Schizosaccharomyces pombe: one gene and its partner. The protein of the gene in region 1 interacts with the protein of each later gene in a pairwise test. Each region holds a gene or a part of one and is shown on either strand. Other genes may lie near its edges.

Region 1 (7,894 bases):
AGTAAGAGTCAAACCCAGCATCGGTCTCCTCCAGTTCATTGTTGGTGGGCAACGACTCTAATAACGATTTCAACTGTTCTAAATGCCTATGTGCCTTTTTAATTTTAGGATGTTGTGAATTTTCTTCTTTCAACCAAAAACACACGCGTCCATAAATTTCACCCGCCAGTAAATATTTGTTATAAGCATGCTCGAGTCCAAACAAAAATGCTTCCTCATACCCTTGCTCAATTCCCTTTAAAATTCCTTCATCATAACCACGTTTGTACTCATTTTCTTCCAATTTGGTCACTTCCTCCCAGTCCATGCGGCAGTGTCGTTTTGTAATAATTTTTGCCAAAAACTGAGAATTTGCAACTTACAGAGGATTAGCGGCTAACCTTATTAGATACAGCACAACACAGTGATATATAGTTCCTGCAGTATAATGTCAGCAATACTACACTACGCTATAATACACTACGTTGAGTATCACTATATGTCACATGTTCTAATTATATATCGTACCATGTATGATACGATATGGAGATTGATCTTAATGATAATCTATTAAGATCAATATTATCTGAATACTATAAATAGAGCTACTGCTGAACCTCGTTCCTCAGTTCAGTTATGAGCTATATTAGTGATAGGTAACATTATAACCCAGTTAATACAATACCTATACTCAGTTGCTACTTATACAACCTGTGTATTGTAATATAATAGATCACAAGGAAAACTCACCGCAGTTCTACGTATCCTTAAATCAGATACCAAACTGCGTAGCTTACATATAAAAACGAATAACAAAGAAGAATTATATCGCCCTAAATGAATTTATGGTATTCGTTTGATATCCGATATTTCTTTAATTTCAAAATCGCAGCATTGACATCTCTAGTGTAAATCTCATTTACTTTGCCTATAGCAGTCGATAATTCATATAGAACATACTTTTTTTCTTTTTTTAAATCTAAGTCTAATATTTTGTTTCAAGTACAGGAGCTAGTAAAGTATATCACATAAGTTTCAATTGGCAAGTGTTTACATTGCGAATAACTGCAGTGTTTCCTTGCTACTTTTAAACGCACAGTCTAGTTACATACAAAGATTAATTAATTTTCAAATATACACAACACTTGACTGTCCTCAATTCTTTACACTAAAACCTTATGCATGCGCGTTGAATATTGAACTACCGGAGAGCAATCTCAGAGGGCTCTGCAGCCGTCAATTGCAATATACTGAAACTAATTAAAAAAAAAAGAAAAGGGTGAAAGGTATGAAAACTTGAATATCATAAAAGATCCATAGTTGTAAAAACAACATAGAATTAGCTAAAAAAGAGAGCTATGATTAATTTTGGTTTGTGTGTACGATCTGGATGGGAATTGATCGACCACAAAAGAGAGGGGAGTATGGTTGTGAATGGGAATACGATAGAGTAGAGAAAGGTGAAAAACAAACAAACCCAAACTCACTGAAAACCAATCAGCTCAAAAAACCTTAAGTAAAGAAAAGCAAAGCATCAGAAAGCATAGGCATCAATGAAAATCAATTCGAAACTGAATCTTGCTCAAATGAATTGACCAAGATACACCAAAATATGCAGGAAGCTAAAAATTCAAAAAGCAGAGGGGAGTTGATGGGGAAGAACCCGGTGGGCCCAGGAAATAAGCTTTTGGGAACTCCGAATAAAAAAACTGGTTCACGGTATAGGAATTGCGGAATTTTTTTTTTTTTTGAAAAAGGTTGTCTAATAGAAAAAGAGAATAGAAAAGGAATAAATGAAAAGAAGGAGACCAATTCCAAAGTAAGAATTTATATCAAACAATTCATGTTCCTATGCTGCTCGTTTCCATGTTGTTTTATTTTTTTTTGGTAAACGCAATCAATCAATCAGTAACGTGACAGACACAAAAGCAAATTGGGAATTACGAATTCATAAAGCATATCCCAACGGCATTACGCCAACACTTGCAACTGTCGTTGACGGCCATCACCCCATTTACTCAGAGGTGGCCTTCTTCAAATACGTAATGACGTTGTTACGATCAGCCGGTTTCTTGAAGCCAGCAAAGGCCATCTTAGTACCGGGGATATACTTCTTGGGGTTTTCGAGGTAGGCGAAAAGAGTTTCTTCATCCCAAGTAATACCCTTATCGCGATTGGCTTCGGTGTAAGAGAAACCCTCAGCTTGACCGGTCTTACGGCCAAATACACCGTGCAAATTGGGACCGACCTTGTTGGCGCCGCCTTTTTCAACGGTATGACATTGAGCGCAACGAGTCTTGAACAGGGAAGCACCCTTCTTTTCGTCTCCAGGAGCGTAAGGCATTTTGAATTAATAAATTGCTAAGGAAAGGAAATAGGCTTAAGAGTTTAGTATTTGTAGAGAAGAAGATTTAAAAACCACAAATTCACAGCGAAGTTAGTGAGAAGATGTACGTTGAGAGTAAGTTGGGATGCGGTGGAAGTCGACCTTTAAATTTATTTTTTCGCCCTTATTTCATTGGTTCATGAGCTCTCCGCGGAATGACATGGCGAGCCAATCCAATGTTTACCTTTTTTGCGTGCGATAACCTTCGTTAAAGTAAAAACAGGATTTGGTGATGACGAGCAGACCGTATTAAACATAATTAAGGTTGTATACCGTGTCTGAAAATAAGGAAAATAGATATCGTTAGAGTGCAGTAATCGTTGGAAAACTGGAATTGGCTGATATGCAATGATTTCCGTAGGCATGCAATGCATCTTCCAAGCATGTGTGGATTGGTCTTTGGGATATGAATGGATTCTTAGAGACGGAAATCGCCAGTCAAGATGCATTGATGGGGATGCATAGCGTAGTACGAAAAATTGGGTGAAATATTGATGCAATAGGATAGATGAAAAATCGTAGACAGAGCAAGAGAGAATGAATAGATGAGACATGGGAATACACCATTGGATATTACACTCTAGTAAATACCTTTTGGTGTGTACACTTTGTTCTGCGCATATTTTTTGGTAGTTGAAAAATTCAAAGAAGCATTTGATCGCACTTTACTTAATCCTGCGAATACAAGGTTAGTGTGACATTTTAAAGAAAACAATTAAATAGGATTATGGAAATAGTAAACAGGAACTTACCTGAACATCGTTTTGTTTAGTCTATGTGTTGTCATTATTAAGCGACGATTTCTTAAATCATATAGTAATAGACAGACACTGTGTGACAATGAAACAAAGTAGAAAATAATTGGTAAGATCAAAGTATGAGAATCCCATTTATCTAGTAAATATAGTTCATTCATATGTTTCGTCTTTTATACAACCACAACAAAATGAATGGGATCTAGAAATTTTTTTCTGCAAAATGTGATTTTCTCCAAAAAGATTTTAATCCATCACAAAAGACTTTCCCATTGAAAAACAAATTTCAGATAAATCCAATAGAATCGAACAAAAAAAGTAAAAATAAATAAAACGAAACGCTTTCCCAGCCTAGTGCTTCAAGCCGCTGCTCTAAACCTGATACACACACACACACACTCACTACCAACCAACTAGCATTTCCTACATTACCTGATTTTTTCGATTTCTTTTTTCTTTCGGTAAATTGGGAAATTCGTGGTAGTTTAGATGTTTCCCTAAATACAGATATAAAAAAGATTGTCTGAGCTTATTGTTACCAGATAGGAGCAAAGGCTGATGGAATGGATAGATAGGGAAGGAAGGTGTATAAAAATATGACAGACCGATGAAAAATGCCTTATCTTGATAAACTAGACAACGAGAATGTTTGAGTATAAGAATAGTAGAGATGAAATCATTTTAAAACAAACACCCTTTGTTAGATAACATTCGTAGGAAAATTGCAATCTTTTTCCTTGTTTTTGGTATCAACATTGAAATTTAATACAATTTACTACCATATATTCGTATATTGAGAAGTAATATCTTTGTATTTCTTGATATTTTACACAAGGGTTACTTTTAAAATCTTGTCTTTGTGTTTACAAGCGTTGATTTCTAGAAACGTACAAAACGACGCTTAGGATATTTTTCGAATAGTCATACTTTTTTTTGTTTTTTTTTTTTTTTTTTCGTATACTCGTTCTACGAATATTGGCAAAATGACTGGTACGGCAAAGGTCAGTATCCCTAAAGCGCAACCTCACAAGGTGCCCTGTGTGTACTTGGCAGGAGACCTCGTGTTTAGGCCTAATGCCATTGAGCTGTTTGATGAACTCAAGGAAATCTGCAAGGACGCAGGGGTGCAAGGAGTTGCACCGTTTGATGGCCAAGAAGGTGTGGAGGAGATGGCTCCTGGAGCGGAAACGAGTTTGAAGATTGCGGAACTCGATCGGAAATTGATGGATCGTTGCGATGGAGGGATTTTCTGCCTTGATCCATTTCGACGTGCCCCAGACATGGATCCAGGCACGGCAGTGGAGCTTGGGTACATGGCCGCTCAAGGAAAACCGTTGGCCGGCTTCACGACCGATGGCCGTATGTATCCAGAAAAAGTCAGGTCGTACCGAAAACAGGCATGGGGCGACGCTTTGAAGCCTCGATTCACCAAAGGCGGTAGTGGTAGCATGGAAGATGCAGACGGCTTGATCGTACACTCTGAGGGATTCTTGCAAAACGTGATGACTGAGGGATTTATCAGAATGTCAGGAGGTTTTGTCGCCGTCGATTTTAGCATTCAAGAAGCCTTTCGAACTGCCATTAAGGATCTAGCTGCCAGATTGAACAGTCAGCATTAGCCGACCATGAGCAGTCAACACTAGCTGTCGGTCATGCGGTGGGAAGAAATGCTATATATGTCGAAATATTTATGTTGTAAAAGACCATGCTTGACTAAGAAATGTTGCGCGATTCTCATGCAAACAATAATTTATTCGCCGAAAACAAGCTTTGGCCGTTCTAACCACTTCTAATCGATAGGTGATAGAAAAGAAAACGACAGTAGTGAAAAGACGAGAAAAGTTAGAGAAATGAATGATAGGAGCTTTATTGAATCAATGTTTTTGCCAGGAATTGCGACGTCTACTAAATTATCACGCTTATTGAGCCAATGTCCTACAATACCATATACGCTATTAGATCCGTAGAGAATGAAAACACGAGTTCATTTAAAAAAAAAAAATTCAACCACACAAATAATCTATTCTTAACTATCATGTCTATTTTGTAAAGTTTGTACAAATACCCCATCTACGCTATATAGTTTTCATTATAAGCAACATATCATTTTCAAATGCATTCCGTTTGCAGCATATTCTTATCATGTTCTCATAGAGTAATCCAAGCCAAGCATCCTCCGTTTCCACTTTTCCATTCCTACTTTCATATTCCTGACTTCCTTTCTTTTGTGTTCCCGTTTGTCGCATCCCCTCCATTGGCTTTTGCCCGTCGGAAACTTGACCACGTGCCAAAAAAATTTGCGCGCTCAATTGGCCCTTTTCTTCTCATTGTATTTTTGTTTTTTAATCTTTTCCCGACATTTTTCTTCTTGCCATTCTTTCCCGACACAACCAAACGACCAAACTTGGCCGACTGACATCTCGTCTATTTGTGAACCCATTCAATTCTTGCTTTTCTATTAAGTGTACCCGATATTGGTATCAAATCCAGGGTAATCGACCTTTTCAAATTCAATTCTGTAATTTGTTTTACAAATAAAAATTTCTGTGTTGGTGTTTATTTACTTTTCCAATATCGCATGGTCACTTTTGCTAATGACTCGTTTGTCGGTGTATTGTAACTCACTTCGTTGGCTATCGTTTAATGCGTAGTAACAATTCCTCACTAGTCCATTGTTGTTGGGTGTCCCCACCATCACTCACACGTCTACCAGCCTTCCCAAGCCCACGCATCCTATCTCCTTGCTATTGCTACAATAAACGGATTCGTCCTTTTCGCGGCTTAACCTCATATCGTCAAGCTTCCTACTCCTTGGGTTTTCCATTAGGTCTACTTGTATTCTTGCATAGTTTGATAGTTGCTCGTTTTTTCGTAGCATCAAAAAGCAGATCTTGTATCGTGAGATCCCTTCTTTTTTGGATAAACTTGGATTCTGCGGATTCCCGGATTAGTGTTCTCTTTCAGTGCTTCTTTTGTATTGATATTTGGACCGTGTAGAACGAAAAAAAAGAAGAAAAAAACACCCCATTCGAAACTGCAAAGTTAACTCCTCGGACGTCGAACGTTAAGCGATTTCCTACTTACCGTCGAGTTAGTTGTCTGTTCAAAAACCTAACCACACAAACTTTCTGAAGGATTTTGGATTTTTGTCGAATCTTTCTTTTGTATTTTTCGTAAGTTGCTTATCGGTGGAATTCGTATTTGAACTCTATCGTCCTCTTAAAATCGAGCCTCTTAAATTCTCATTGCTTTGTCTCTGCTGCTTATGCTTGAACTGCGCTTTGGGATGGCCACGTGAGGTTCGTAAACACGAGATTTCCTTTCCCCCTCCACCTTATTTCTTTATCTTTTTTCCTTCCTTACTAATGTCTGCTAATGTTTAGATTATTACCTCGCATTTTAAAGACTAAATCACTTTTTATCAGTTGTAAACTGTGTTCTGTCTTTCGTTTCATAACTTTCGTTGAAATCATTTGGTCGTAGAGTACAAGGAAACGAACTTCTCGTCTCCTACTTTTATTTTTCTCGTTATTTTCTTTTTCTAGCGCTCTTTTCTTTCCCCTTATATTTACCTTTCATTCTCTTCTAAAGGTTCTTCATCGTTTTTAGTGATACCTTTGAAAGCTTATTTACGGATTGTAAGGTTTACCATACAGTTTTATTGTTTTTACAAGTTCTTATATTTCCTCAATTTTGATATTTACTTTTTTTTATGATGACGAAAAATCCTGTCGATCACACACTCATTATAGAACCTCCGGTTCGTCTTCATGGCGATCCCACCGTCCCTAAACCTAACATTGCTAGTTTGGATGAGTATAAACGTATGTATGAAGAGTCAATTAATGACCCATCCACTTTTTGGGGTAACATGGCTCGCGACATGATGACTTGGGACAAACAATTCAGCACTGTCGTCCAAGGTTCCATCGACAAGGCAGATAGTGCTTGGTTCGCTGATGGTGCCATTTCCCCTTGTTATAATTTAGTCGATCGTCATGCCATTGCTCGCCCAGACGCCGTTGCCTTGATTTATGAAGCTGATGAGCCCAATCAGGGTCGCTATATCACCTATCGCGAGCTTTTGGCTTCCGTTTCTCAATGTGCCGGTGCTCTCCAGTCCATGGGCGTTGGTATGGGAGATCGTGTTGCCATCTATATGCCTATGATTCCTGAAACAATCATTGCCATGTTGGCCATTGTTCGTTTGGGTGCCATTCATTCTGTTATTTTTGCTGGTTTTTCTGCAGAGTCTGTTGCAGACCGTGTCAATGATTCTGAGTGTAAAGTTATCATTACCGCTGATGAAAGTCATCGTGGTGGTAAACGAATCCCTTTAAAGGGTGTCGTTAACAAAGCCCTTACCGAATGTCCTACCATCAAGAAGGTACTCGTCTTCCAACGCTCTGCTGAGCCTACCGCCAGTATGGTTGAAGGTCGTGATGTCTGGTGGCACGATATTATTCCAAAGTTCCCCCGGTATTGCCCTCCTGCAGTCGTTAATCCAGAGCATCCCTTGTTCCTTCTCTACACTTCTGGAAGTACAGGAAAACCCAAGGGTGTCGTACATTGCACTGGTGGTTACCTTCTTGGCGCTGCTGCTACTTGCAAATACGTTTTCGATTTGCATCCCACGGATCGTATGGGTTGTGCTGGTGATGTCGGTTGGATTACTGGTCATACCTATATTGTATACGGCCCCTTAATGCTTGGTGCTGCTACTCTTGTTTTTGAAAGCACACCAGCTTACCCTGATTACTCTCGTTACTGGAGT
Region 2 (7,521 bases), on another chromosome or scaffold:
GCTGTAGTTTATGTAGCAATGTATGGCTTTACAATTCATGTACTATGTCTGGATGACTTATTCTACAATACAATAAGACAAAGGTCAATACATAATACGGAAATTCCGTTAAAGTGAACAGGCAATTCTTAATTGAGTAAACTTTAGACATTAATTGATTCAAAAGCAACCTACAACCGCAAAAAAAACTTATTCTTTGTAGCTTGGAAAGTTTAGATTGGCCTTAATCAAGGGTTATCGGCTTACATGCTTTACAAAAAACACTTTTCATTTGCAAATGATTAGTATACTAAGAATAAAAGGCTTGAAAACTGGCACATATTTTACGTCAAAATAGACAACCAAGGACACTACGAGATTTTATAAGTTAAAAATCCCATTTACACCAATATTTGTTTAAACTTCTGAATTTGTTCTATCAGAATTCTATAGCCCCTTTAAACCACTCTCTTTCCAAGACACTGCAGTTTTTGTTTCATATTATAACGATACCTTAGTGACCATTAACTATTAACACTTCAGAAGTTAACATCGGGCTGCAAAAAGAAGATATCACTTGAACCGGCTTCGTGAGCAAATAACCCAATTAAACGTCGAAAGTTTTGGTTTCGTCCTTTCAAAGCTATTTTATTGCAAGCATTATAACCTTTCAGTATTTGAATCCTACAATTTAATTTTTCACGATGGGTATGAGCTTAAAAGGACAACTACTCACATTTTTTGGAATATTCATTACTGGTATGTTTATTGATACTATAAAACTGAAGTAATTCAGGTTTCAAAGTTCTTTAAGAGAATAAATTAATATATATATTTTTGTCTATAATTGCTTTTTTCACTAACTCACGCAGTCGGCCCTATATCATTTCTAGTGCTTAAAAACGATTTAAATAATAAAAAAAGAGAGTACTTTAAATTGTATAAGCAAGAACAGGCGAAACAGCTTGAAAATGCAAAATCTTCAAAAGAAAACAAATAATGAAATATTTACTATAATTTCGACGCCAATGTCAAAGCTGTCCACAGACAGCGATGCAAAGATATTAAATAAAATAACCTCCTAGTCCATGTAGTAATTCCGGCAATCCCAAAAATAACACTATATAATAAAAACGCTGAGTAATTAAAAATTAAAATAAAATAAAATAAAATAAAGCCTTAAACCGGAGCCATTATATAACAAAGCGAGACATATTAATCCAACAATATGTAGAATAAGTTATAAATAATAAACTAGTATTTCTCTCCTCCTGCGTTAACAAGCGACGCTCAAGGAAGCAAAACAAATGTAAGGAAACAACAGATAAATGATAAGGGGGGTTCCGTAACGACCTACTGAAAAAAAAAATCACTTTCCAGGCATTAAAAAAATAATCTTTCAATTCAGTGTCATAACGTTTCCAGGGCCTTTCATCTTTGCAGCCTTCAATAAAGATTGTCAGATAATGTAAAAACTTTACATGTTACGAGGAAACTAAATAAATTGATAATCTAAAATATATGTTTAAAAGAACTTAAGCCTATCAAACACTAAGCTTAAAAACTTGGAATGGAGAGTAAGGAATCCTCATTTTCATATTTGTGAAGTTATGCTCAGACGATAAGGCTGAAATATCGCGAAAAAATCTCCAAAAAATGGACTTAATCCTTTCAAAATAACATACGAAGAACAAAGTTGGTTATAATAGCTGCCAACAAAACAAAGCAGAGAATGGTAGGTCCCAATCGATCATCGTAAGGACCACTTCCGCGTCGTCGAATAGCAGATGCTCTCCAGTGGTAAATACCAAGAGCATAACCCATGGTACCAATAGCAACAATAGTGAAAAGTCCTGCACTAATCTTACCAATTCGATCACCAAAGTTAAGTAAACCAACTGACAAACCACCCAAAACTACTGCAAAGCTCAACCAAGAAAGGAAAGTACGTTCATTAGCGAAAAAAACTTTAGGTTCAACACGAACAGGAAGAGCAATTCTTTTACCAGGAGTAGTTTGTAAAAGAGGTTGAGTAGACATTGTTAGTGGAAAGAGTGAGCTATAAATCGAAGGTTTTTTCTCCTCGCGAGATTAAGTATGTGCTGGCTGTGAGTTGTGGTTAAGGTCAGCTGTGTCGAACGGCCTAGAAATTTTTTTCGTATCTTACTACGGTAAGTCTCGGTAAGTTAATTAGCAGATTTAGCGAGACTAAATTCTTCAAATTTTGCATTATCAAATTCGCTTCTTCGCTAACCAGAAAGCTAATGAAGATATACATTTCATTTCATTTAAGGACACGAGGATATGTAACTTTTCCTACTTAATCCTATCATGTTTAGAGATAAAAGTTGTAAAATAAGTTAAACTACACTAATAAGCATTGAAAATTTTCAAAAGTTATCATCACTTAAGACTATTATTTATCATAAAAACTCCGAGATATGAAACTAGCAAATACTGTATCAAGGGAAGAATATAATTTATAAAAAATTTGTAAGTGACTAAGAAATCGTCTTGAAATCAGACACACTTAATATAAACGAATGTTGACAAGACAAGACTCTTGTTTTCCTAAGAAGATTGGTGAATAAAATCTATATAGCAAAGGTAAAATAGGATAAAGGCGTGTAATAAACTTGAATATATAGAAGTAATTTTCCAACATCAGTTGAGCTAAAAATACAACAAAACATAACTCGTAAACTTATTTTGAAAAATGCTTTGAAACACTTAAATTTGGTAGTCATTAAGAGCAACACAAACAGCAGCTTTGTGATGACCCGAATACTGACGGATTGTTTCACCACTCGATAACTCCCAAAGCCTTGCAACATGATCAGAAGATGCGGTTACTAAGTAGGTAGAATCAGCAGAAAACGCACAATCCCAAACCCATCTTTGATGCCCTTGAAGTCGTCTCTCAAGCATAAATGACATATCCTCCGTACTCCATATATTCACTGTAGCATCGGCAGAACATGTAGCAAGGTGTTTGACATCAGGAGACAAGACGCAGCGAGTGATATAACGCTGATGAGCTTGAAATTTGACAACGGGCTGAAGCAATGAAGCACCCTGATGATTTAGCATTCGCCAAACGTAGCAGTTTCCTTTGTTGTTCCCAGCAATAAGCATACTACCATCAGATCCAACAGTAATGCTGCTCATAGGTACATCTTCTTCCGGAATAAGTTCGTGTGTACAAGAATTCTCTCCTAAATCCCATGCACGAACTCGTCCACTTTGGTCGCATGAAAGCAGTTCACCTTGATTTGGATGAATTAACAAGTCATTAACAGGAGATTTATGATCATAGTTTCGCTGAACTGAAGGGGCTCTCATATCCCACACCTTTACTGTTCCATCCTCGCTCGATGTGGCAAGCCATTTACCATCACAATGAAAAGCGATGGCTGTAACATTATTGGTGTGCCCTTCAAAGGTCATTAATGGCATTTGACTACTAGTGTTTATGTCGTACAATCTTACATGAGGATTTCCGGCGGCTGCTAGAAACTTCTTATCAGGTGAAATACATAAACGATTTACCTGAGAGTCCGCATGTTGTATTGTTCTCGAGCATATTCCACTTAGGGCTTCCCAAAATCTAATGGTATGGTCATATCCACTGCTGACGAGCAGAACAGAATGTTGTGGTGGATACTGTACTGACATGTGGTTAAAGAATGGAGCGCTGTTATACTGTAGTTATTAAACAAACTCGAATACAGAGAGAATTAATGACTGAAAATTTTTAAAATCAATTAAATATGTTTATATTATATATTTAGTAAATTTTTTGTAGCATGACTTGTAAACGCACGATTGGCGATCTATACTTTAAATCTACAGCCATCAAAACTTTAAAAAATTTAACAGTTTTGACCATAAAAACAGGAAAATTCATAGAATAATAGTAAATTCATGTTAATTTAATTTTTTAAAAAATTGCGCCTGCAATAAGTAGCATAAGCATAAGTGTAAAGATAAACTGGTATAACTAAAATATTATACAGGACGAAAGGTTAAGGCAAATTTTTAAGCAACAAAGACATCATTGCTGAGTTGAACGACATTTAAACCTAGATAAATGTCGATTTGTAAATAGTTTATAATAACTATCCTAACTATTAAAACCAACAAGGTTCCGAAAGACGTATAACAGAAACGGACAATAATGGATAAAAAAGATCATAAAAGCAAAATATGGTTTAAAATTCTGAAAGCCAAAATTATTTACGCTTTCGGTGCATGTGTTGCAAGTTGAGAAGTAGTGCTCTATTAAAGTCCCATTCAGAGAGCAAATCTTTGAGCAGTAAACCAACTTGATCATATTCATCCATAGCATATGTCTGCATAGCTGTATTGTCTCCTTCTTGAATATATGAGCTGATAGACTCATGAGTTTCCATCATTACAGAGTGCAACTCGTTAAAAAGACTGCGCAAATTTTCTTTGCACATGATCCTGGGGAAAGGTTTGCTAGTAGTGTTATGTTGATTACGGTTGACCGATTCAACTGAAAACTTTAAGATGTCAACGAGACGAACCATCGACACAGACAATGCATTAGAGAGGTCACCTACCTCCCGGTGAACAATGAGCCATGAAGACCTTTCAGCTAAAAATGAATCAACCGGAAACGATAGTATGCAACATAGAACTTGCTTAGAGATTATAGTTAATTCATAATAAGCAGTTTTGATGTGATTGAGAATTTGGGTGGATTGGTCATCAAAGTCTTGGTTTTCTTTACGGGCTAGGTACATGGAACTCCGTTTTAAGCTTGTTGAGGAACCTTTTCGGAGGTCAAACGAATTTAATTTACCAAAGCAATTTGGAAGTCTATATAGTGATAATAGGTTTCTAAGGTTGGAAGCAGCTGCATACGGATATATTCTTGACAGAACCAGCTGGTATCTAGGTAAAAGCTTCTCATACAAACCAGACAGTTCGTAACTTAAAGTATTTTGTTCCGTAAGATTAAACAATAAAGGATCATTGGCAGGAAGGAAGTCCATTAACCGGGAGCGATTTGCTGCCGAATTTGCTTCCAATTCACAAATTTGGGAGTAAACACGATTAGATGTAGTTTCAAAATCATGCAATAGATTGACAAACTTATTTAAGCTGGATAATCCCATAATACGAATAAAATATGTCCAGCAATGACAAATCCGTATGAGCGAAGAGAAGCAAATATAAGATAAGGCTATTATCTTCACAAACTTTAGATAATGAAGACTTGCCATTGCAGATGATAATTTGTATAAAACAAAATCTATTACAATTTGTAAGCTCAGCAGATAGGCGAAGTATCTCCAAAACTTGCTCGTAGAACTGAACGATGAAGAAGGATAAACCAAAGAAGGCTGTTCTTCATGATGTGACCGCTGTAGCTCGTGATCTCCTACGAGGAGTTCAGATGTATAAATAATGTACTGAATGCTGTCAAAAAAATATTCGTTTTCTCGATCTTGTAAGTTTAGATTAACCGACCCCTGAAAATGTTCATTAGCATATTACAATAACTCAAACTATAAAATCAGACTAACCATTATGCAAGGCCATAGATAAATTGCCAAAAAAGAGATAAACCGATGCCATATAGCAAAAGCGTGCATGGAAATATACACTTTGTATCGAGTCCTCAGAGATGAATACAACCCTAGTGTATTGTGTCAGACAAGAAAGAAAGTCGAAAAGAACAGGAAAGCTTTTGTCTTACCATCGCGAGATAGTTGAGTATCTACGTTCATATCAAACCGTTCAGCCAAACATGGAAAGGCTTTGCTTGCGACACCCTGATAGACAGGAATTTTTTATACAGATGTAATGACAAACAATATGCTTTAAGCAGCAACTTAATTGTAGTTTAAAATCATATAGAAATACTTAAAATCAATGAGGGTTTGCACTTCAGGATAATGGTAAATGAAAATCACACTTCACGAAAATAAAACGCGTAAACCGTTAATCTTCAAAACTAAATAATACCGCTCAAATTACGCTGTTTTTCCGCTAATGTTCATAAGGGAAATGTTTGAATTCCGTAAAACTGTTAAGGATGCGCAGGGTGATGGTAAAAGATTTGATAGTATATGTTTATTTTGCAGAAATATTCGCCTTGACTATATACAAAGTACTTTTATAAACTAAATAGTGTTAGAAAAGTATAAAGAGAAGCTTCGATAGAAAATTATTTCAAGGTTAAAATGAATAACTCGTTGCATCAAATTAGTTTGAGGTGAAAGGAAGGATATGATTCGTAGAACTGCTAATTCTTCCTGAGAATGGTAAATGAACGGAAAGCGATTTTTGCAGTTTGAACACGATTTGATACATGAGAGCAATACAGTAATATTGTATATACAGATGGAGATAAGATTTGGTTGCGATTTAAATGGCAATGAAATAAAGATCTAATAAGATAACCATTAGTAAATTCTTAGCGAACCATGCTTTCCCACCTGCTAGTAGAAGATGTTTGCAATTCAGTAAACAAAGGTTATGAAAGTCACCAGTATAGCTAAATTAACAAAGTTAGCTGATCAATAATATTGAAATCTCATTAAATTACGATGATAATCTGTCTCTTCAATGAAATAAAAACTTAACACTGTGTAGATATTACGACGGCATGCAAAGAAACTGGAAACAGAGACAAGATATAGAGTTTACTAAAGTATTCAACCTATTCAGCGAATTTTAACAAATTCTTTTTCAATTTAGTGAGTTTACTTTTCAACAATTTTACAATTCATCAGTGAACTCTATACTTTTAAATCATTTGCAGTGAATGAAAATAGATCATGGATAATACTCGTACTTCGTTTTGTCTCATGATAATTTAAATACAAAAAGTTGACTTACAGTAGATAAACGTTAATCTACATAATAAATCATTGATGCAGGTTCAAATACTTCTTTCCCCTTCCAATGAATGAAGAAATCCTTTTGTGCTTTAGCCGCACTCAAGTGAAAAAACTCAGGGAAAAGAAAATAAAACGAAGAAAATGGTGATCTTCTTGTTGACGATTTCCTTGGCAAATTAATAAAACTATGCAAAGCGATTTATTAGTTACATGTATACACTAAGGCCATTGCACTATTGGACACGAGGGATCAACATGCCTTGCCTTTTTGGCAATACAATCACATTGCACTCTTTATGAATGTCGTCTACACAATATAAACATATTAACGATTTGCATTGAAATGTCATGTTATGATCAAATTATAATCTTATGCATGCCGCTTCAGATAATGGCTGGTAAAAATTATTATAAAGAGTTATTTGTTTAATAAATAACAATGCAAGAATTAATTACAACACACTGAGACAAGAATTCTCTGTTTATTTTTATAAATTTTTTTATCTATAAAAGAAGTATAATCGCTTTTAAACTCTTGCTTAATGCTGCCGGTTTGATCGGTATTATAACTAATTGACCGAGAACATATGACGAATAGTGAGAATTACTGTAGCGTAACATTTACTAGCAGTAAGCTTCCTTCATAGAATTTTTCAAAAGCACAATC

What was found.
Region 2: the proteins of SPOM_SPCC191.05C (region 1) and wat1 interact in a two-hybrid assay, tested with the Schizosaccharomyces pombe proteins (one large-scale study listed by BioGRID).

Annotation. Positions count from the first base shown.
Region 1 is NC_003421.2:1,709,164-1,717,057, reverse strand, and holds SPOM_SPCC191.05C (nucleoside 2-deoxyribosyltransferase), read left to right. Parts: upstream 1-3,524; 5' UTR 3,525-4,103; coding exon 4,104-4,739; 3' UTR 4,740-5,103; downstream 5,104-7,894. Other genes in the region: ribosome biogenesis protein Lto1, read right to left, coding at 1-307; cyc1 (cytochrome c), read right to left, coding at 1,994-2,323; SPOM_SPCC191.06 (uncharacterized protein), read right to left, coding at 2,503-2,919; SPOM_SPCC191.04C (uncharacterized protein), read left to right, coding at 5,234-5,536; SPOM_SPCC191.03C (uncharacterized protein), read left to right, coding at 5,764-6,117; acs1 (acetyl-CoA ligase), read left to right, coding at 6,836-7,894.
Region 2 is NC_003423.3:1,659,080-1,666,600, reverse strand, and holds wat1 (TORC1/2 complex WD repeat protein Wat1/Lst8), read right to left. Parts: upstream 3,661-7,521; 5' UTR 3,655-3,660; coding exon 2,710-3,654; 3' UTR 2,241-2,709; downstream 1-2,240. Other genes in the region: SPOM_SPBC21B10.15 (uncharacterized protein), read left to right, coding at 684-738, 852-979; vacuolar transporter chaperone (VTC) complex, GTPase regulator subunit Nrf1, read right to left, coding at 1,651-2,019; myosin-binding vezatin family protein Inp2, read right to left, coding at 4,212-5,480, 5,535-5,647, 5,708-5,738. UniProt on the Schizosaccharomyces pombe protein: component of both TORC1 and TORC2, which regulate multiple cellular processes to control cell growth in response to environmental signals. Nutrient limitation and environmental stress signals cause inactivation of TORC1.